Caenorhabditis elegans: one gene and its partners. The protein of the gene in region 4 binds, or shares a complex with, the protein of the main gene of each other region. Each region holds a gene or a part of one and is shown on either strand. Other genes may lie near its edges. The genes, in order: mdt-21, cic-1, cdk-8 and mdt-18.

Region 1 (4,942 bases), on a different chromosome or scaffold from region 4:
CCTGAAAAAAAAGCATAGAAATATCTGCAAAAAATGCATTTTTAGCCGAAAATCTCTTTAAAATACCCGATTTTTCATCAAAAAACTACCTAAAAAGTCGCAAAAAACGAGGATTTTTATGGAAAAAATCTGTAAAAAGCCAGAAAACGCAAAAAAAAGTCAATTTTCGTTCAAAAAACCCCAGATTTTTTTATTTAAAAAAAACACCTAAAAAGTCGCAAAAAACGAAGATTTTATGGTTTTTAACGCAAAAAAATCTTTTTTTTTTCGATTTTCTCGAATTTTCAGATGTTTCTTGCACTTTCAGTTGTTTCCAGCCAATTTTCATTTCAAAAATTCGATTTTTCCTAGAAAACCACCTAAAAAGTCGCAAAAAACGAGGATTTTCAGGTTTTTAACGCAAAAAATCCAATTTGCTCCGATTTTCCCGAGAAAAAAACCCTAAAATTTCAATTTTTGCAGGAAGGCGACCCAGTGTCATGTTTTTAGCCAATTTTCGTTTAAAAATCCGATTTTTCATCCAAAACCACCAAAAAAAGTCGAAAAAAAAATAATTTTTCCTTGAAAAATTCAATTTTTTCCGATTTTTTCAAATTTTCAGATGTTTTTAGCCAATTTAAATGCTATTTTTCATTAAAAAAAACCCATAAAATTTTCAATTTTTTCAGGAAGGCGATCCAGTAACCTCCCATTTGCTTCCATCTGGCAGAGTTCCAATTGGTCACGTATTCCTTCGCGGTGACAACGGCCCAGTTTCAACAGATTCCAGACATTTCGGCCCGGTACCTGAAGCCCTTGTTCAGATAAGGCTCAGCCTGAGAATATGGCCTCCAGAGAGAGCCGGATGGATTTCTGATCATTGGTTTTGGGATAAAAGTGATAGAAATGCAGAGAAATAGGCTTCTTTTTCAGTGTAATTATGTGCTTTTCCACCCTTTTTTCCTGGTTTTTGTCTCACTTTTTTTTTTGCCATAAAATACTATTTTTCCATGTTTTTCTACTTCCATTTTCTATTTTTTTAATGGGTTTTAACCCTATTTTTACCTGAAAAAAACACTTTTACAGCAAAAATTCCATGAAAACTATCAATTTGAAGCCAAAAATCCAATTTTTCATCAGAAAACTCTCTAAAAAGTCGCTAGAAAACTAGAATTTTTGGTTTTCAGCGCAAAAAAAATTCAATTTTTAATTGAAAATTAAAAAAAAAATTAATTTTACTCATTTTTTATTCATTTTTATCCGATTTTCAGAGCCTTTCGACCAACTTTTCATCAGAAAACTACCAAAAAAGTATCAGAAAGTATGGATTTTCAACGCAAAAAATTTAGATTTCCATGGTAAAAAGTTGAAAAAAAAAATCGATTTTCACTCCATTTTAATTCATTTTTATCCGATTTTCTCGAATTTTCAGAGTTTTAGCCAAGTTTCGTCTAAACAATTCAAACGTCTACTAGAAAACCTCCTAAAAAGTACCAAAAAACGCACAAAATCCGGTTTTTTATTAGAAAAATACCTTAAAAATCGCAGAAAATAAGGATTTTTTTTAGTTTTTCAACTCAAAAAAATCAATTTTTCTTGGTAAAAATTTGAAGAAAAAAAATAATTTTTATCCGATTTTCTCAAATATTCAAAGTTTTTTAGCCAATTATCTTCAAAAAATTCAAATTTCTACTAGTAAATTCCTAAAAAGTTCCAAAAAACGCATAAAATCCGGTTTTTTATCAGAAAAATACCTTAAAAATCGCAGAAAATAAGGATTTTTAGGTTTTCAACTCAAAAAAATCAATTTTTAATGGAAAAAATTTGAAAAAAAAAATGAATTTTCACTCCATTTTAATGCATTTTTATCTGATTTTCTCGAATTTTCAGAGGATTTCGACCAATTTTTATACGAAAATTCCAATTTTTTATTAAAAACTACATTTCAAGCTCATTTTCAGCCCAAAAACTCTTGAAAATGGCTGATCGAATGACCCAACTACAGGATATGATTAACGAAATGGCCGGATTAATGACAAATGCGATTGGAGTGCTCCAGGCGACTGCTCCGCCATGTGAATTTGGAGCAATTTCACAGGAGCTTGAGGATGAGCCAAATTGCGCGATTTTTGCCGCTGGAATTGCAAAAGCCGCTAAAAATATTGAGGTTTTCTATAGAATTGAGCATTTTTCGGCCAAATTTTCAGAAAATCCTAAGCAAAAAGCTTCAGAAAAGCTGTTTTTCTCGTTTTTCAAACTATTTTTAGCCTGTTTTAACTCAAAAAATTCCAGAAAATTCCAGGAAACCCTAATTTTTATTCAAAAAATTACAAAAAAATCCTCATTTTTACCCGACAAAAATTTAAAATTTGTATTTTTCTATTTTTTTTAACTGAAAATTAGATTTTTTTTTGAAATTTTTGTGAAAAGTGGATTTTTTTTTAATTTTGAGTTTTTTTTAGTTTTAAATTAAATTTTTTTCGGCTGAAAATGAGGATTTTTGTAATTTTTGAAAATTATTGTTTCCTGGAATATAAAATAGTTTGAAAAACGAGAAAAACTGCTTTTCTGAAGCTTTTTGCTTAGGATTTTCTGAAAATTTGGCTGAAAAAATTAATTTTACAATATTCAGCCAAAAAATTTCAGAAAAATTCAATTTTCGGGTGAAAATTTGAAAAAAATTGTGAAAATTCGATTTTCCGGGTGAAAAATGAAGAAAAATCGAAATTTTTCTTTAAAAAAATTCAAAAATCCACATTTTTAGCCGAAAAAAAAAATTAATTTAAAATTTAAAAAAACTCAAAATTAAAAAAAATCCACTTTCCACAAAAGTTTCAGTAAAATTAATTTTCAGCCAAAAAAGTACAGAAAAATCCAATTTTTATTGAAAATTTTAAGCAAATTCTCATTTTTGCCGAAAAAATCGTGATTTCTACCCAAAAAACAGCAAAAAAAATCCAATTTTCTGTCGAAAAATTCAATTTTCGGGTTAAAATTTGAAAAAAATTGTGAAAATTCGATTTTCCGGGTGAAAAATAGAACAAAATTAATAATTTTCTTGAAAAAAATCTCAAAAAAATCGAATTTTAGGTCGAAATTCTTTTGAAAATTCGATTTTCTGGGTGAAAAATGGCTAAAAATCGAAAAAATTCAATTTCCAGCTTAAAATTTCGGGAAAAAACCAATTAAATAATTTTCAGATCCTCATCGACTCATTCCCAATCGAAGCGGGCAACCAGGAAGCGGAAGTCGAGGAGAAAATGATAAAAAACGACGAAAAGCAGCGAGAAAAAGTGAATGAGCTCGTCGGACTCGTCGGCGACAGCAATCGGCTCGTCGGAGTTGTTCAGAAGAAGCTTGCCGAGATTTCAAAGACACAAATGAGCTCGAGACCCAGTGAATAATTATTATATTTTGCCGATTTTTGCCGATTTTTTATTGTAATTTTCATCATTTTTCCATTATTTTGGGCCGATTTTCTGGTAAATTGAGAAAAAAAAATCAATTTTCTAGTCCATTTCCTCTTGACAATTCTTTAAAATCCAGAAAAAATTGCCTAATTTGCTGTGAAAATTTCAATTTCATATCGATTTTCATGTTTTTTTTCCATGTTTTCAGCCGATTTCCATTTTTTTTTGTGATTTTTCCTTAATTTTTCGATTTTAAATCAACTTTTTTTCCATTTAAAATCGATTTTTCATCCCTTTTTGCCCCTGAAAATAGTTAAATTCTAATTAATTTTCCCCTATTTTTCTTGAAATTTTCGATTTTTCTCATTTAAAATCGATTTCCACCACTTTAAATAATTAGAAATTCCCAGAGAAAATTGATTTTCATAGCAAAAAATTATTTTGGGCCGATTTTCCCGGAAAATTGAGAATTCTAAATCAATTTTCTAGTCCATTTCCTCTTGAAAATTCCTTAAAATCCAGAAAAAATTTTGCCTAATTTTCCGTGAAAATTTCAATTTCATATAAACTTTCATGACTTTCTATTAAAATTGGGATTTTTCCCATTTAAAATCGATTTTTCAACCCTTTAAAATATGTCAATTTTAATTTATTTTCATTCATTTTTTCCCATTCAAAATTGATTTTCTACCCTTTTTTCTACTGAAAATTTGCTAAATTTGAAAAATTGTGGGTAATTTATCTTTTTTTTTTTAAATTTTTTTCCTCAAAAATAATCATTTTTAATTCAATTTTCCCCCATTTTTCTAGAAAGTTGCCAATTTTTCCCCATTGAAAATCGATTTCCACCACTTTAAATAATTAGAAATTCCCAGAGAAAATCGATTTTTTTTCAAATTTTTCCCTTGAAAATTCCAAAATTTCTTAAATTTCGAAAAACTGTGATCTCTTTTTCTTTTTATTTAATTTTTAACTGTTTTCTGTATTTTTGCCCATTTTTTACACTTTTCCCCCAGAATTTGGGTATTTTTAAATTTAAAATTTGATTTTTTTTTTAAATTTAATACTCCTCATTTTCCTATTCTATTGGCAAAAACCATGGTTTTTTATCTGAAATTCTCTTAAATCTAGCCTAAAACCCTAGCAAAACCACTTCCAGATGGCCCAGAGCACACAAGAAGCAGAAGGAGAGCAACAGAGGCGACAAGCTGTGCTCCGGGAGCGATATTTGAGCTTTTTGCAGGTGAAAATTGGACATTTCATCTACAAAACCTCTCAAAAAATCGATATTTTTGGTGAAAATCTGAAAAATTCAGCGAAAATTTTGAAAAAAGCCACCGATTTTCTCATTTTTCAAGTCTAAAAACTGAAAATTTTCCAAAAATCCCAATTTTTGTGCCATTTTTCCCCGAAAATTCTCGAAAAATTCCAGAAATCCGCCGACAAGCCAGCCACCATCGAAATGTGCGAACGAACTACGGTCACCGCCACAATTAAAGCATTTCAACCGTCTTCGGAGCACGTGATCGTCGGTACGGTGGCCGTGGCCTAGG
Region 2 (7,772 bases), on a different chromosome or scaffold from region 4:
AAAACACAAAAAAAAACGTTAAAGTTCAAAAAATGACCTTATTCCCAATCGGTGGCCTAGAAATTACAAAAGTTCGGCCATCAGCCAAAAAACTCGGCCACATGGGTAAAAAGGTCCGAAAAATTCGATTTTTCAGTTTTTTTTCACTGAAAATCACAGAAGCATCGATTTTCGGGGATTTTCCAGCTCAAATTGCACAAAAATTCAGGTTTTTGCAATTTTTGAGTTCAATTTTCAAGAAAATGCCAAAAATGTCAAAGTTTCCGTTCTTGACTTTCTAAAATCACAAAAATTCCCTTAATTCCGATTGGTGGCCTAGAAATTGCAAAAAGTTAGGCCACCATCATTTTTCGGCTGAAAATTGGCAAAATGGGTTAAAAAACTCGGGGTTTTCCACATTTAAAGAAAAATGTTCGAAAATTCCTATTGGTGGCCTAGAAAGTAAAAAAGTTAGGCCACCAACTTTTTTTCGGCTAAAAATGCTTAAAAAATTGTCTATTTTCGCGGAATTTGCTGGATTTTCTTGCAAATTCTCTAAAAATTGGCAAATTTCTCGAGTATTGGGTAGAATTTCACGGGAAATCTCAATTTTCCGGTAGAAATCCGAGACCTTTTCAAAATCAGTGTCAACTTCGACAAGCCAAGCTTCCAATTCTTCTCCACGGCCCATTAATTCCATTGCAACCATAATACTTGATAATCCAATGACATGTGGTGGAAAAATCAATGAAACATCACATCTTAGCGAATCATTTGCCACTTTTTGACATTGAGCTTCAATTGCTTCCAGATCTGCAAAAAAATGGAGGTTTTTTGGTGAAAAATTGGATTTTTTAGTGAAAAATTGAAAAAATTAGAAATTTTGAATTTTTTAATGAAAAAATGGAAAATTTTGGATTATTTAGTGAAAAATTGGAAAAATCGAATTTTTTTGAATTTTTTGGTGAAAAATTGGATTTTTTAGTGAAAAATTGGAAAAATCGAATTTTTTTTGAATTTTTTGGTGAAAAATTGGATTTTTTAGTGAAAAATTGAAAAAATTAGAAATTTTGAATTTTTTAATGAAAAAATGGAAAATTTTGGAATTTTTAGTGAAAAATTGGAAAAATCGAATTTTTTAGTGAAAGATTGGAAAATTTTGGATTATTTAGTGAAAAATTGGAAAAATCGAATTTTTTTGAATTTTTTGGTGAAAAATTGGATTTTTTAGTGAAAAATTGAAAAAATTAGAAATTTTGAATTTTTTAATGAAAAAATGGAAAATTTTGGATTTTTTAGTGAAAAATTGGAAAAATCGAATTTTTTTTGAATTTTTTGGTGAAAAATTGGATTTTTTAGTGAAAAATTGAAAAAATTAGAAATTTTGAATTTTTTAATGAAAAAATGGAAAATTTTGGAATTTTTAGTGAAAAATTGGAAAAATCGAATTTTTTAGTGAAAGATTGGAAAATTTTGAATTTTTAGTGAAAAATTGGAAAAATCGAATTTTTTTTGAATTTTTTAGTGAAAAATTGGATTTTTTAAGTGAAAAATCTAATTTTTAAGTTAAAAATTGGAAAATTTTGAATGATTTTGGGAAAAATTGAAAAAATTGGAAAAATTTGAATTTTTTGAGAAAAAAAAAAGGAAATTTCTGAAATTTTTTAGGGAACAGTGGAATTTTTTTGATTTTTTTTTTTTGAATTTTTTGGTGAAAAATTGAAAAAAATTGGAAATTTTTGAATTTTTCAGTAAAAAAGTGGAAAATTTGGAAAAATTTAAATATTTAGTGAAAAATTGGAAAAATTCGATTTTTTAGTGAAAAATTGGAATTTTTTTTTGAAAATTTGAATTTTTTAGTGAAAAATTGAAAAAATTAGAAATTTTGAATTTTTTTAATGAAAAAATGGAAAATTTTGGAATTTTTAGTGAAAAATTGGACAAATGGATTTTTTTTTGAATTTCTTAGTGAAAAATTGGATTTTTTAAGTGAAAAATCTAATTTTTTAGTTAAAAATTGGAAAATTTTGAATTTTTAGAGAAAAAAAAGGAAATATCTGAAATTTTTTAGGGAACAGTGGAATTTTTTTGATTTTTTTTTTGAATTTTTTGGTGAAAAATTGAAAAAAAAATTGGAATTTTTTCGTGAAAAATTAGGATTTTTTTTGTGAAAATTCAGTTTTGTTTTAAAAACATTTTAAATTTTTAAGAAAAAAATTCCGAAAAATTCTTCGAAAAAATTGAGGTTTCCTAATTTTTGGCATATTTTTTGTAGGGGAAAATCAAATTTTCTTCAAAAATTGAATTGCAAATTTTCCACTTTTTTACTGAAAAATTCAAAATTTTCCAATTTTTCACGAAAAAATCCCAATTTTTTTCAATTTTTCATCAAAAAATTCAAAAAAAAAATCAAAAAAATTCCACTGTTCCCTAAAAAATTTCAGATATTTCCTTTTTTTTCTCAAAAAATTCAAAAATTTCCAATTTTTAACTAAAAAATTAGATTTTTCACTTAAAAAATCCAATTTTTCACTAAGAAATTCAAAAAAAATTCGATGTTTCCAATTTTTCACTAAAAATTCCAAAATTTTCCATTTTTTCATTAAAAAAATTCAAAATTTCTAATTTTTTCAATTTTTCACTAAAAAATTCCAATTTTTTCCAATTTTCCCCTAATTATTCAAATTTTTCCAAATTTTTCACCCAAAAATTCCAATTTTTTTTCAATTTTTCACCAAAAAATTCAAAAAAAAAATCAAAAAAATTCCACTGTTCCCTAAAAAATTTCAGATATTTCCTTTTTTTTTCTCTAAAAATTCAAAATTTTCCAATTTTTAACTAAAAAAATTAGATTTTTCACTTAAAAATCGAATTTTTCGCTAAAAAATTTAATTTTTCCAATTTTTCACTAAAAATTCCAAAATTTTCCATTTTTTCATTAAAAATTCAAAATTTTCCAAATTTTCCACTTTTTTACTGAAAAATTCAAAATTTTCCAATTTTTCACTAAAAATTCCACAATTTTCCATTTTTTTCACCAAAAAATTCAAAAAAAAAATCAAAAAAATTCCACTGTTCCCTAAAAAATTTCAGATATTTCCTTTTTTTTTCTCAAAAAATTCAAATTTTTCCAATTTTTATCGATTTTTTTCCCAATTTTTCCTGGAAAAATCGCAATTTCTCCAATTTTTCACAGTTTTTATCAAAAATTTCCCGGGGGGGGGGGGGGGGGCACCTTTAATAGGTTGATTAGCAATAGTTGATTGTTGAGTAAATTGTTTCAAATCTTCTAATAATTCAAACATTGGACGTGATGCATGATGTACAACAAGGCAACAATCAAGAATTTCAACGAGAATAAACTCGGAATCGTAGACAACTCCATTTTTTGTCGATGTCGTCTCAAATGTCACTCCCCATCGTTTTGGCACTGAAAAATGAAGGGATTTAGGGGCGCGAAATTTGAATTTTTGAGGGGAAAATTTGATTTTTAGGCGATTTTTTGGACTAAAACGGGTTTTTTATCGAATTTTTGACGTTTTTAGTAGAAAAATTGAATTTTTGAGTGGGAGATTTGATTTTTTGGCGATTTTTTGAAGTAAAACGCGTTTTTTCGGACAATTTATGGGTTTTTTAGTAGAAAAATTGAATTTTTTAGCGGAAAATTGGTTTTCAGGCGGATTTTTTGGAGTACAACGGGGTTTTTTCCCGAATTTTTTGAAATTTTTTGCATTTTTAGTAGAAAAATTGAATTTTTTAGCGGAAAATTGGTTTTCAGGCGGATTTTTTGGAGTACAACGGGGTTTTTTCCCGAATTTTTTGAAATTTTTTGCATTTTTAGTAGAAAAAATTGAATTTTTGAGAGAAAAATTGATTTTTAGACGAATTTTTGGACTACAACGGGTTTTTTATCGAATTTTTGACGTTTTTAGTAGAAAAATTAATTTTTTAGTGGGAAATTTGATTTTTTGGCGATTTTTTGAAGTAAAACGCGTTTTTAATAGAATTTTTCGAAATTTTTAGAATTTCTAGCAGAAAAATCGAATTTTTGAGGGGAAAATTGGTTTTCAGGCGGGTTTTTTTCGAATTTTTTGAAATTTTTTGCATTTTTAGTAGAAAAAATTGAGTTTTAGACGAATTTTTGGACTAAAACGGGTTTTTTATCGAATTTTTGACGTTTTTAGTAGAAAAATTGAATTTTTGAGTGGGAGATTTGATTTTTTGGCGATTTTTTGAAGTAAAACGCGTTTTTAATAGAATTTTTCGAAATTTTGGGTATTTTTTAGCATAAACATTGAATTTTTGAGTGGAAAATTGACAAAATTCTGTTGTTTCTGCTGAAAAACTGGTTTTTTAAAAGAAAAATTGAATTTTTGATTAGAAAATTTGATTTTTAGGCCATTTTTTGGCCTAAGAAGAGGTTTTTATTCTAATTTTCTGTGATTTTTAGCGTTTTTAGCAGAAAAATTACATTTTAGACGGATTTTAGGACTAAAAAGGGGTATTTTATGAATATTTTCTGAACATTTCGGCGTTTTCCGCAGAAAAATTGAATTTTTTAGTGGAAAATTTGATTTTCAGGTGGATTTTTGGACTAAAACGCATTTTTGGTCGAATTTTTTACAATTTCTGGCGTTTTTAACAGAAAAATTGAATTTTTGAGGGTAAAATTGATTTAAGGCGATTTTTTGAAGTAAACCGGGTTTTTAATTAAATTTTCTTAAGTTTTTGGTTTTTTTAGCAAAAAAAAGATGAATTTTTGAGTGGAAAATTGATAAATTTTGGTTTTTTCTGTCGAAAATAGATTTTCAGGCAATTTTTTTGAAGTGAAAACGAGTTTTTTATCGAATTTTTGAAATTTTCGGCGTTTTTAGCGAAAAATCGAATTTTTCAGGTTAAAAATTGACAAAATCCGATTTTTCCACACAAAAAACGATTTTTAGACGAATATTAGGACTAAAACGGGTCTTTATGGGTATTTCCTGAACTTTTAACCGTTTTTAACAGAAAAATCGAATTTTTAAGTGGAAAATTTGATTTTTAGGCGATTTTTTGGACTAAAACGGGTTTTTTTCTGGTAAGTTGGGCGTTTTTAGTTTTTTTAATTAAATTTTTCTGAAAATTGGCCGTAATTTTTTTATTTTTGGCGTTTTTAGGAAAGCATCGAATTTTTGAGTGAAAAAGAGGCAAATTTTTCGAGTTTTTCGAGTTTTTCAGCTTAAAAATCGATTTTCAGGCGATTTTTTGGATTAATAAGCGGAAAATGAGCTGCAAGAGTGGAATTTCAAATTTTTTTGAGACAAAACTTGACTCAAAAACTGTTTTTTTTTTTTGGTTATTGAGGTGATTTTTAGAGTTTCTAGCTGAAAAATTTGGATTTCAGCGGTTTTTAAGTGAAAAATTGATGTTTTTTCCGGGTGTTTTTTCGGTTCAAAAGCCTATTTTTCACTAAATTTTCCAATTTTCAGCCGGATTTCCGCGTTTTTCTGCCAATTTTTTGCAATTTTTCCGTCGTAAAAACGCACAAACGATAGCTGTATTTTTCAGAAAGCTTGAGACGCTCAACGTAGTGTGTTCTTCAACTTTACACGCTAAAAATAATGCTGTAGAGGCTACGAGGAATGGGCACATGTCACGGAACGATTGCCTGAAAAATTCGACGTTTTTCCAGGTTTTTTATCATTTTTTTCCGAATAAACCTTAGATAAAATCGCTTAAAATAGATAATCGCAGTTGCAATAACCTGTTGACGGAGTTTACATCCAACATTTGCCTGTGAGTGGGCTCCTTCTGTGGCGACGGCGGTTATAACTGAAAAAAAACCAAAAATTATCGATTTTTTCGAGGAAAAAGTAAGGAAAAATTACAATTCGCCCAGAAAATATTCAATCGATTGTACTCTTCCTCGTTATAAATCTTCATATCCTCGGCGCGTTGCTTCCAAATCTCGGTTTTATCGAAAATCCATTGTTGGCTGGAAAAAATGGGATTTTTTTGGGTTTTTCAATGGGATTTACTTACCAATGACTGCTTTTCCAGAAATTTAAAGCCATTTTTCAACTAAAATCATTAAAAAAATGAAAAAATCGAGAAAAACAGTGGAAATTGAGTGAAATCGATGAAAATTCGAATAAATAAGAATAAATTCGGAGTGTGGATTTACGGTAAAGAACACGCGCCTGCGGGATTCCGGAGTGTCGTTGTATGTCTTTACGCGGTAGTTTAAATCGATTTTTTAAAGCTGGTGGATTATGGCTAGTTTAGAGGGGGTTTTGAAGTTTTTTTTTGTGAAAAATTCAACAAAACGTAGTCAAAATCCTTCTTCTGTGTTAAAATTCAAAAAATTCCATTAAAACCGAGACAAATCGAAATTTTTCTGCAAAGCCACAATAATTAATAATAATTTGGCTCATTTTTCAGAGTTTCTCATGAGTTTATGATTTTTGTGTCAAAATGCTTCCAATTTGCTTTAGGTTTATGTCAACTACATTTCACCCGTCTCCAATCCCTCTGACCACTTGAACTTTCACTTTTTCCCGAAACTAGGCGGAGTCTGGCGGGGGTGCTAGTGAAAACTATCCAATATGACACAGTCACCCATTTCTTGGATGAAAATCCGGCAATTTTGTTTGCAAAACTGAGCAGAAATCATCATTTGATAAGAAATTCGCACCTTTTTGACCTTTTTGACGCTGTAGTCACTGAGCAAATAGAAAAGTGGTACAAATTGGCTGGAAAAAGTCGTATAAAGGAGCTTTTTGGGGAGTTTTAAAGTGTGAAATTGGCTTTGTTAGGTGCTAATTAGTATATTGGAGATTTTAGGAAAAATTTAAAATTTTCGAAAAAAATTTTTTTTTTCGAAATTTTTTTTTCAGAAAATTTTTGTTCGAAATGTTTTTTTTTCAAATTTTCAGATTTCCAGCCAATTTCTTCGTCTATAAACATGTCCATCAATATGAATGCCAACTTTTTGAAGCTTCTCACCCATTTTCGGCGTCACGATTTGGTAAGTTGAATTTTTTCCCAAAAATTTGAAATTCCGACCTATTTTTGTTTAAGTCTTAATTAATGCAATAAAAATGCGAAGATTTTTCTTTGTTTTGTTTAAAAAAACATTTTTATAGCTTAAAAATGAGCAAAGTTATAGGATTTTTTCTAAAAATTTTTTATTCCAAAAAAAATTTTATTTTTTGAAATTTTCAACATTTTTTTAGTACGATTGTAACTTTTTATTTGAATAAAATATTTATCTACAATCTGCTTTAAAAATTATAAAAAAAATCTTAAAAATGAGAAAAGTTATGGTACTTTAAAAAAAAAAAAACTCAAAAAAATTTTTTCAAAAAAAAAATTTTTTTTTTTCAATTTTTTTTTAAAATTCCCCCCCAAAAGTACATTTATTTCTTATTAATGTTATTATGTACTATCACATCTTATCAGTACGAAACCCTTCGTGTTCTTCTGTTTTATTGAAACCAACGGAATATAAGGTGACGAAATGAATTTGACCTACTTTTTTCTGTTATTTGCGCCGCCGCCGAAAATTGGTGAAGAACAAATAATTATTGTGACCTTGTTAATGACAATGTCAATAATAGTTTTATAATAAGAAAGGTATTTACTTTTCCGGAAAAAAAAAATTGAAAAAAAAATTTTTTTGAAAATTTTTTTTTTTGGAAAAACATCAATTTTTTTTAAATTTTTTAACTTAAAATTAGTATCAAAATCAGATTCGTCGTCAAGTTCTACCCCTGAAACACTTTTTTCCGACTTTCCTACGCTAAATTCAACTT
Region 3 (5,685 bases), 2.2 Mb from region 4:
AATTTCGTTGCTCTGATCAGAGATCAAACTACATAGGGACAGAAGGACACGCGCTTTATATATAGTAAATGATAGTAAATGATAATCATGAAACATACCTGTTGTTGTTGTCGATGTTGTGCTTGCGCATAGCTTATCTGTTGTTGTCCTTGCTGATTTTGTGCCATAAATACAGCTCGATTTTGTTGTTGAATTTGATTTGCTACTTGCTGTCCTGGAATTAAATTTAAAACTCTTTTCAGTTTTTCAAACAAGAATGTCTTATACAACACGTAATGTGAGACCCAACACACGAGTTTGAAATTTTCCAGAATTATTTTGATTGTTTTCGATTTTTTTTTGTTTGCAAAAACAGTGAAAATTTAATCAATATTTAATTTTTCCTTTTGGAAAATATGTGAAACTTCAATCGTTCAAAAATCAGAAATCGAGTTATTCGAAATGTAAATGTAGAGTTAATTTGTGTCTAGAATATTATTCCAATAAAACAATTAATTATTGCAGAAACATATACGCGATTCTAGATATACGTAGTACTTGTATTCTATTGATAAAACACACGGCATCCGGAGACCGTAAATAAATTGAAATAAAACCGATTTAAAAAAAAAAATATTTTGTTTTGAATAACATCAATTAAATATTGACTATCAATTTTCTAAATAAAATTAAAAACTTACTCTGATAACCTTGTTGAACGTTATGTCCTTGCACAGGTCGCATTTGAACACCAACTGCAACATTTCGACCCGCTATCGTTCCCTGCAATTTCTTTTGAAAAATTAAAATAGTTTCGTGAATTTGAAATTTTGTTTCAATTCTTAGAATTTGTTATGTTGATTGAGAAACTGATAATAAAGACTTACTGGATGTCCAAAGTTTACTTGCATTGGTTGACCACCAGGAACTTGGCGAACATAGGCAGGACCGACACCATTTTGCTGAATCTGACGTACTCCCGGGGGTAGTTGAACTATCTGAAATAAACTTTAATTCATAAATTCAAGCATATGTCTTGTCTCGAACAAAATTTGATTATATTCTTCAAAATCTCACCCTCTGCTGTCCGTTTCCGTCGTGATGAACCGTTCGAATTCCTGCCGTTTGCACATACGTGGCATTTTGTGATACTGCACCACCAGCTTGTGCAGGCATCACTTTTTGAACGTAAGTTCTGTAATATCTTTCGAGTGTTGTTATTGGATTTCTTGATCCAAATAACTAAAACTGAACAAGCTATTTTTTAATTCAACTCATACCTCTGGTTTCCCATCATTTGATGATCACCCATTTGCATTTGAACTGATCGGCCTGTAAATTTGAGTTGTTATCTTTTGAAAACTCGACAAATGCTAAAATCTGCAACAACGAGAGAGCGAGACTTCGTGAGAACATAAGAATTTTTTGATTTATGTTAGAAAATTCTGGAAAAGTTAAGAAATATTTATTTCCGACGACCAGTTTATTTTAAATTCAGACAAAATAATATCCAAAATACAATATTCGGTTTGTTCATTCTAAACTGATTTGAGGCAAACGCGGTTACAGGATCGATTGAAAGCGTTATTCGCTGCCAAACCAGAGTATCCTCTCTGAATGTGCATTCCTCCTAGTTATTTGTCTGTTAGACATGTGGCATTTATTGATTAGTTAATTTATTGATTTTTCAGTCTTAACGCTGTGTTCTTTGGGAAGAAGAAGTGACGTTCGGCGAGAATTTGCCACAAGAAAAAGTGCTAGAAAACGAAGACCGACGAAGATGTCGTGATATTTGGTGTTTAGTACGTGGGTGCAGTGTTTGCGGACTTCCTTACCGTACACTTCAATTTTAATTTTCGTTTTTCTGGACATCGATTTTCCTGGCATAAAGACTGAGTAGTATTCGCTGTAGTAACTGAAAAATGACGTAAGTTGGAAATTTGCACTATAAATAAATCAGAAAATCCCTATTGCAGATTAATGATTGATGAAAACTTCAAAAAACAATTGGCACAGCGTCGAGAGAGAGTAGAAGACCTTTTCTACTTTGAAAATTCAAAAGAAATCGGCAGAGGAACATATGGATTAGTTTATAAAGCAGTTCCGAAAAAGCAAAATGGACAATTTCCTAACAAAGAATACGCATTAAAAATGATTGAGGGACAAGGATTTTCAATGTCTGCATGCAGAGAAATTGCTCTATTCAGAGAATTAAGGTAATTTCACCGATTAAATAATATTAATTTAAAATGAAGATTGAATTCGAGATTTTCCCCTTTTTATAATCTAAAATTCGAAAAAAAAACTGAAGTAGATATTCAAAAAAAAAAAATGTTTCAGGCATCCGAATTTAATCTGTCTTCAACGTGTATTTCTTACCAACGAAAAAAAAGTCTGGCTTTTATTGGATTATGCTGAACACGATCTCTGGCACGTTATCAAACATCATCGAACAGCTAAAAGCAAGAAAGTCCCAATTATGGTGCCACGGAATATGGTCAAAAATATATTGTTTCAAATTTTATCAGGTTTGAAATTCTAAAATCCAATTTCACTCAACTGTATTTTAAAATATTCAGGAATGCATTATTTACATTCAAACTGGGTACTACATCGAGATCTCAAACCAGCAAATATTCTATTAATGGGTGATGGACCACCTGACATGAGAGGAAGGTTTGACTGAATTTGAAATTTATGCGATAATATGAAATAATAATTCTAGGGTAAAAATTGCTGATTTGGGATTTTCAAGAATCTATGCAAATCCTCTGAAACCGATGGCTGAATTAGATCCAGTAGTTGTCACATTCTGGTACAGAGCACCTGAATTGCTTCTCGGAGCAAAGCATTATACAAAGGTACGTTGAAAAATCTATTTAATAAGGAAAAAATGCATAATCTCAGGCTATTGACGTATGGGCTATCGGATGCATTTTTGCCGAACTTCTTACCGCTGAACCATTATTTTTCTGTAAAGAGGAAGACATCAAGGCACAAAATCCATATCACTATGATCAAGTGAAAAGGTACAGATTTTTTGGAAATTAAAATCATTAACTATTCGAAATTTTTAAAGAATATTCCATCTACTCGGATACCCATCAGATGCTGATTGGCCTGATATGAAGAAAATGCCGGATCATCAAAGACTTCTAAGCGATGCTAGAAATGAAGGGTAAATTATAATATAAAAGTTTTCAAATTTATTTTGATAGATTACTTAAAGGCACATTATTTTTTTCAGTAGCGTGAATGGCTTCAATGAAACCGAATTAGTCTCAAATTAGGAAATACCACAAAAAAAGGAAAAAAAAATCGCGAAAGAATTAAAAATCCAAGATTAAAAAACGAGTCGCTGATTGGTCGCAGTTCTCATTTAGGTGGCAATTCAAACAATTGAAAATCGCGATTTCAAAAGTTGGTTTTTCATTCTTGCGATTTTTTCCATTTTTTGTGGCATTTCCGAATTTGAGAGAATTTCGGATGTGTGAATTTGTATTGCAATATATAACGGCTTTAAAAAAGTTTTACATAATTATAAATAAACAATTTTCAGAACACCAATTCAAACATTTCCAAACAGCTTGCATCGATACTTTGATAAATGGAAAATCAATTCACAAAGCTCTCCATATAGATTACTTGTCAAATTGCTCACAGTTGACCCTACAAAACGTGTCAGTTGTGAAGAAGCGATGAATGATATTTATTTTAGAGTTCGTTTGAAATTTAATTTGAATAATATTTGAAAAAACCATTTGCAGAAAATGGAAAGACCACCAAGGGAGACTGACGACGTGTTCAATAAATATCCAATTCCATACGCGAAGAAGGAACAGCAGATGACGGTAAGGGCATCAATTGTTGAATACACTGCAAATGTTCCCAAGATTCTTTTACAGGTTGCACCAGATCAAGCACAACAACAGCATCAACAACAACAAGTTCAAATGCAACAACAACCACAAATGGGACAGCAACAAATGATGGGACAACCTCAAATGGTACAACCTCAGATGGGACAACCACCAATGGGTGGAGCACATCCCGGAGTTGTTGCTCCAGATGGACATCCACATCAAATGATGCAGCAACAACAGCATCCACAACAGCATCATGTCAGTTTTCTAAATATTCAGAATGAAAAGTTAACTTTTTCTGTTCAGATGCAATATCAAGGAATGCATGATCCAATGCAAGGTGGAATGGATGAAGGACCACAAGCAAAAATGATGAGAATGGGAAATGTTCCTGTTGGAAGAGTAAGCTTTTTAATTAGAAAATAATAATAAAAAACATAACATGGCTGAATATCATAATTAAGGATTTCAAATTTTCAAAGTTTTTGTAAATTTCCAAATTTCGCAAATTTTGATAGATTGATTGTTGAATTTGCAAATTTTTGTAAAATGATTTATAATTTTTTTGTTGGTAAATTGCCAAACTTTCAAAAATTGAAATTTCTTGAAATATTCGTTAATCGTTGCAAAATAGTAGATAGAAACTAATTTTGATAATTTTTGGTTTATTTCCAAATCATGGTAGATGAAGTAATTTTCACTTTTTACTGTAGGTAAAACTATTTTGAAAAATTGTTGAAAAGCGTTACTAGGATATTGGGTCATTTTAAGATCATAGGAGTGATTTTCATCATTTTTCCCTATGGCAATACTCCACTTTTCAAATTCTTATGTTCAATTCTACAATTGCAGTATGCACCGATGCCTCCTCCATACGGTGCTCCACAAGACTATCACCCGCAACAAGGTCCACCAATGGTGCAAATGATGCAACAACCGGGACCATCCGGCTACTATCCACAACGACCAGGACAACCAACAGGAGCAGTTCCTGGACCAGGACCTCAAGGATATATGAATCCACAAATGGGAATGCAAATGGGCATGCGTGCTCCAGGAGTTCCACCACAAGGATATATGCCTGGTCGTGGAATGGCTCCCCCTCAAATGGGACAACAGCAACCCGGTCCAAATCAACAGCAACAACAGCAATGGCAACAACAATATCATCGATAAACATTTCATTTGTAACATGTATGTATCTATAGTACTCACATCAAACTAATATTGCTCGTCATGTGTAATTTGAAGGCTTTGTAAATTGTATTTTTTTGAAATACGTTCACAATAAAATTGAGAAAATACGTGGCAGTTATCAAAATCAAATTCGGAAAGATTTTTTTGGTTTAATTCAAAATAGAAAACAAAGCAAAATGAGTGAATGAAGCCGTTTTTCAGGGGGGGTTCGAGATTTTTTCATCGTAAGGTTGGGGTATAATCATTTAAAACAATTTTAAAATTGAAATTCTATATTGGAAGTCGTTCATTTTTTGAAGTCGGATGTGATTCGATGCAAGCGGAGAATTCGGTCACCGTGATACTTGGACATGTTCTGCAAACATTTTAATTTTAAGATTTTAAAGCTGTTTGGAAATAATATTTCTTTTTCTCTGATGGTCTCACAACGATCGTTTGAACACTTCAATTTAAATAAAAAACGAACCTCAACACACAATACCACTAATTTATTTTCACATTTTTCGGATCCACTTGATTGGAAAATGCTTGTATTCGATGAGATGTGACCTGCCAAAGAAGTCAGAGATGCTGCAATAAATTATATTCTAAAAATTGTCTTCAATTTCTCAAAAATTACAATCGGCTCTTCTCCATCCATCACAGT
Region 4 (3,482 bases):
AGACTTCTGTACTTTGGTGGAATACTCATATGTGGAAGGTCGCCGTAGTTTCGGACAGCTTGATAATCGCCACAACAGATCAGCAAATCGAATTTGTAGCCATTTTTCTGTTCGATTAGTGTCATTGTCTGAAATATTTTTTTTAAATAGTTGTAATTTTAAATAGCAATTAAAACAATCTAATAGAGAAAATAGATCTGAAATATGCCATTAATTTTGTTCGAAAAATATGATTTTTTTTTAAATTTTACCTCATAAATAGCATCCATTTCTCCGTGAGAGCATCCGACAACAGCAATTCGTATTTTCTTTTCCCCATTGTTAACTTCTTTTTCAACTACTAACGTCTCCGGAGCAGGATCTTGATGCGAACCTTCATGGGAGCCACAGCAAGGTTGCTCATCTACTGGATTTTTCGATGACATTCTAAATTTTCATTGGAGTAAAAAAATGTTTAATGTTGATATCAGAAAATAAAAGGTATAAACCATTGAAGCTTTGTGGGATATTAACATTATTGAATACTTCGTGAATTTTATAAATTAAATAACGTATCAAAGTGAGATCAATCAATTAATGAAGATTAACGACGAGGAGCTGCTTGAGCTGGGAACATTTTCTTCCAGTAATCGACTTTTTCCATATTAACAAGTGGCATCAGCTGATCGGCAAAATCACGAAGAGACTTGGCAGCCTAAAATGAGTTGAAAAAATAAATTCGAAATTATTACTAAAAAACCTACCGGCATGTATTCTGCAGACTCGGGCAATGAGATACTGATTTCCACTAACGCAGAATCAGAAACAGATTTGATTGAATTTGAATCATATGTTCCTGCGCGAGAAGTACTAGTCAATATTGAGTGCAGAATCTTTATATTTCCTTTTGTCCACAATTTTCCTTGTGTCATATATTCATAGTCCATGCGGAGACCCAAGGATTTCGCATACGTCATCATATCCTGAGAATGGACAAGTGAACTGATTTCTTTTCGAACAATAGTTGGGCATTTTTGATCTGGTTCCGGAACTGAAATAAAACAAAAAATTATAAAATACGAATTATAAGGTTAAAACCGACCTCCAATGTACTTTAATTGCCAATAATTTTGAATTCGATGTTCTGTTCGGAATCTTCTTCGCAATCTTCAAAAATCAAATACATGCAAATATTTAAATAGATAAACAAAAAAGCTTACTTAATATCGGTTTTGATATCCATTATACCCGAAGATCGTAGGCTGAATGACATCTCATGCTCGAAGAATTCCTCACATCCCGGATCACAAAGGCCGGCTAAACGTCGTTCCAAGTCCTAAAGTTGAAACTTTTGTATTAGAATTTAGTCCAATTACTTTAAAAACTAACTGGGACATTTTTTGCGAAAATAGATCCATAAAGAACGCATTCTTGTGTTTGATAGGGAGTTGAATTCACAGAAAGCTGAATTAAAATGTTTTAGATGGATTTTAACAATCGAAATACCTTTTCTTGTGTTCCATCTTCATCAATATCCACTAAATTGTCCATATTTTGAATGAATCAACTAAATAAACAGAATAAAAAATGTTTTTAAAAAATTAAATTAATTCAAAACTATTTGAGCGTGATATTAAATGTATTCTACGCAATTCACAGCTGGTGTTTGCGGACTCACACTCTACGTGACTCATTTCCAGGGAAACCAACACTCCCGAATATTTTACCATTTTTACGATAAAACTCTGGTTTCAGTTACTTTAATGGTTAAAACTCTACTTACTTTCAATATTGCATAAAATATATGCGATAAGTTTTACGCATATAAAAAAAGAAGTTTGAAATTCTGAAAGAGTTCATTTCTAAGATTTAACAGATTCCAGAAATCAGTAGTGTCTCCATAAAAGTTTGTACTTTTTTGTACTTTTTTAAATTGCGCTTTCGGAAATTGTTACTTTTTAACATTTTTTCCCATTTTCCGCTCCGAATTACCTCTCTAAGATTTGCAGAAAATGACTGTGACGAGTGAAGAAGACCTATCTGAAAAAATGAGCGAACTCTACGTTGCAGAATGCAATGCGGTAAATTAAAAATCCTTTTACATGATTATGAACGACAAGACAAAAATAATTCGTTTTTAAATTCCGAGTTTGTTTCCCTAAAATAGTATAAAAATAATTAAGTCTGTATGAATTTAATTTTTCAGGCTAAAGCTCGGCTCGAAGTTGAGACCGAATGTCGAAGAATCATTGCTGATAACTATGAAAAAGTTCTGGAACGAGCAAAGGAATATTCGAAAAAGTTGGAAGCTCCTATTTTGGTAAATTACATTCTCTCTCATATAATCTTATTCTAATTTTTAGGCGAAAATTTGCGAAGTCGGTTATTTCTGCGGTGCCCATGTAGTTCGCACGAATCAAGTTACGATGGAAATGGGTGCAAACTATTACGGAGAATGCAGCATTCATACAGCTGAAAAGATCTTGGATCGGAGAGTTTCTGAAATGAGAAGGCAGCGTGAGGAAGGTCTCGATTCAATTCGAATGTTGGATGACAAAATAAAGTTTGCTCAAGATAATTTCTCATCTGTTTCGATTGATGGAGGACCTATCGAAATTGTCGAGAAATACGATGAAGAGATGGAAAAACTGTTTTATCAAAATCGCAAAAACAAAAAGATGTCTCAAAATGATGAACAGAACGAGAAGATAATAGAAAAGAACAAATTGAATGGTGACCAAGATCACAACGATGTGATGAACCGTTTGGAAGAACTAGAGAAACTGGAACAAGACAATGATGAGATGGAAGAAGCTCCAATTCCGAAACCTTTTGAAGTTTCAAACGAAGATTTACAGGATTTGGGTAAATTAGAGGAAGTTGAGGAAGTTGAACAAGATCCAACTGATAAAAAACTAAGATTTGGAATGAATGAACGTTTGCTGGCACAACCTGGAGTAACACAGAAGGAAATGGAACGGCTGTTAGATTTCTTAGACACTTGTGATGAAGAGAGTTCCGATGAGGAGTATGATGAAGATGAAGAGGAAGGAGACGATGATGAAGAGAATCTTAACAATAGTGTAGAAGAACTCGACTCTGATGATTATGCATCTGATGATAATATCGAGAAAAGCAATAATTCTGACCAACAACTGAAATCCAAAAAGATAGAGACCCAAGTGATTAAGGTCGAAGAAATTGTTGAGGTAATTTCAAATACTAAATAGAAACAATTCACTATTATTTTAACACACAATTTTTAGGAAACCGTAACAAAAACCACCGTCAAACGGAAAAAATCGGGAGTTCGATTTGCGCAACAGCTTGAAAATGTGAAAACATTCCATCAAACAGACACTGTCGAAATCAAGGAAGAAGATTCAGTTATTGAAACCAAATCAATTCTCCGGAGCACTGAACCAACACCCGTTGATCGTTCAGCTCTCGAACCCGAGCAAAAGGAACTTGCTGCGATGAGCACAATGACATTTCCAGGAGAA

The links.
Region 1: mdt-18 (region 4) and mdt-21 share a complex: the UniProt entries of both Caenorhabditis elegans proteins name them as parts of the mediator complex.
Region 2: mdt-18 (region 4) and cic-1 share a complex: the UniProt entries of both Caenorhabditis elegans proteins name them as parts of the mediator complex.
Region 3: mdt-18 (region 4) and cdk-8 share a complex: the UniProt entries of both Caenorhabditis elegans proteins name them as parts of the mediator complex.

The regions. Positions count from the first base shown.
Region 1 is NC_003281.10:11,775,687-11,780,628, forward strand, and holds mdt-21 (Mediator of RNA polymerase II transcription subunit 21), read left to right. Parts: upstream 1-1,934; 5' UTR 1,935-1,957; coding exon 1,958-2,146; intron 2,147-3,179; coding exon 3,180-3,383; 3' UTR 3,384-4,442; downstream 4,443-4,942. Other genes in the region: immp-1 (Peptidase S26 domain-containing protein), read left to right, coding at 669-899; C24H11.5 (Gem-associated protein 7), read left to right, coding at 4,549-4,632, 4,822-4,921. UniProt on the Caenorhabditis elegans protein: Component of the Mediator complex, a coactivator involved in the regulated transcription of nearly all RNA polymerase II-dependent genes.
Region 2 is NC_003281.10:2,395,177-2,402,948, forward strand, and holds the start of cic-1 (Cyclin-C), read right to left. Parts: upstream 6,046-7,772; 5' UTR 6,033-6,045; coding exon 6,001-6,032; intron 5,954-6,000; coding exon 5,847-5,953; intron 5,791-5,846; coding exon 5,679-5,790; intron 5,627-5,678; coding exon 5,505-5,626; intron 3,410-5,504; coding exon 3,215-3,409; intron 793-3,214; coding exon 611-792; intron 481-610; exon of another isoform or gene 431-480; intron 1-430. Other genes in the region: Sterol 4-C-methyltransferase strm-1, read left to right, coding at 6,923-6,985. UniProt on the Caenorhabditis elegans protein: Component of the Mediator complex, a coactivator involved in regulated gene transcription of nearly all RNA polymerase II-dependent genes.
Region 3 is NC_003279.8:8,700,661-8,706,345, forward strand, and holds cdk-8 (Cyclin-dependent kinase 8), read left to right. Parts: upstream 1-1,805; 5' UTR 1,806-1,901; coding exon 1,902-1,906; intron 1,907-1,955; coding exon 1,956-2,195; intron 2,196-2,319; coding exon 2,320-2,507; intron 2,508-2,558; coding exon 2,559-2,655; intron 2,656-2,704; coding exon 2,705-2,840; intron 2,841-2,886; coding exon 2,887-3,008; intron 3,009-3,058; coding exon 3,059-3,157; intron 3,158-3,538; coding exon 3,539-3,698; intron 3,699-3,746; coding exon 3,747-3,830; intron 3,831-3,884; coding exon 3,885-4,100; intron 4,101-4,148; coding exon 4,149-4,244; intron 4,245-4,694; coding exon 4,695-5,018; 3' UTR 5,019-5,165; downstream 5,166-5,685. Other genes in the region: tlf-1 (TATA box-binding protein-like 1), read right to left, coding at 99-214, 681-762, 867-977, 1,057-1,183, 1,260-1,297; cle-1 (Fibronectin type-III domain-containing protein), read right to left, coding at 5,326-5,394, 5,506-5,609, 5,659-5,685. UniProt on the Caenorhabditis elegans protein: Component of the Mediator complex, a coactivator involved in regulated gene transcription of nearly all RNA polymerase II-dependent genes.
Region 4 is NC_003279.8:6,492,302-6,495,783, forward strand, and holds mdt-18 (Mediator of RNA polymerase II transcription subunit 18), read right to left. Parts: upstream 1,547-3,482; 5' UTR 1,531-1,546; coding exon 1,486-1,530; exon of another isoform or gene 1,444-1,485; coding exon 1,369-1,443; intron 1,316-1,368; coding exon 1,200-1,315; intron 1,147-1,199; coding exon 1,082-1,146; intron 1,031-1,081; coding exon 744-1,030; intron 695-743; coding exon 584-694; 3' UTR 521-583; downstream 1-520. Other genes in the region: dbr-1 (Lariat debranching enzyme), read right to left, coding at 1-128, 252-425; uri-1 (Unconventional prefoldin RPB5 interactor), read left to right, coding at 2,028-2,060, 2,186-2,299, 2,343-3,188, 3,246-3,482. UniProt on the Caenorhabditis elegans protein: Component of the Mediator complex, a coactivator involved in the regulated transcription of nearly all RNA polymerase II-dependent genes.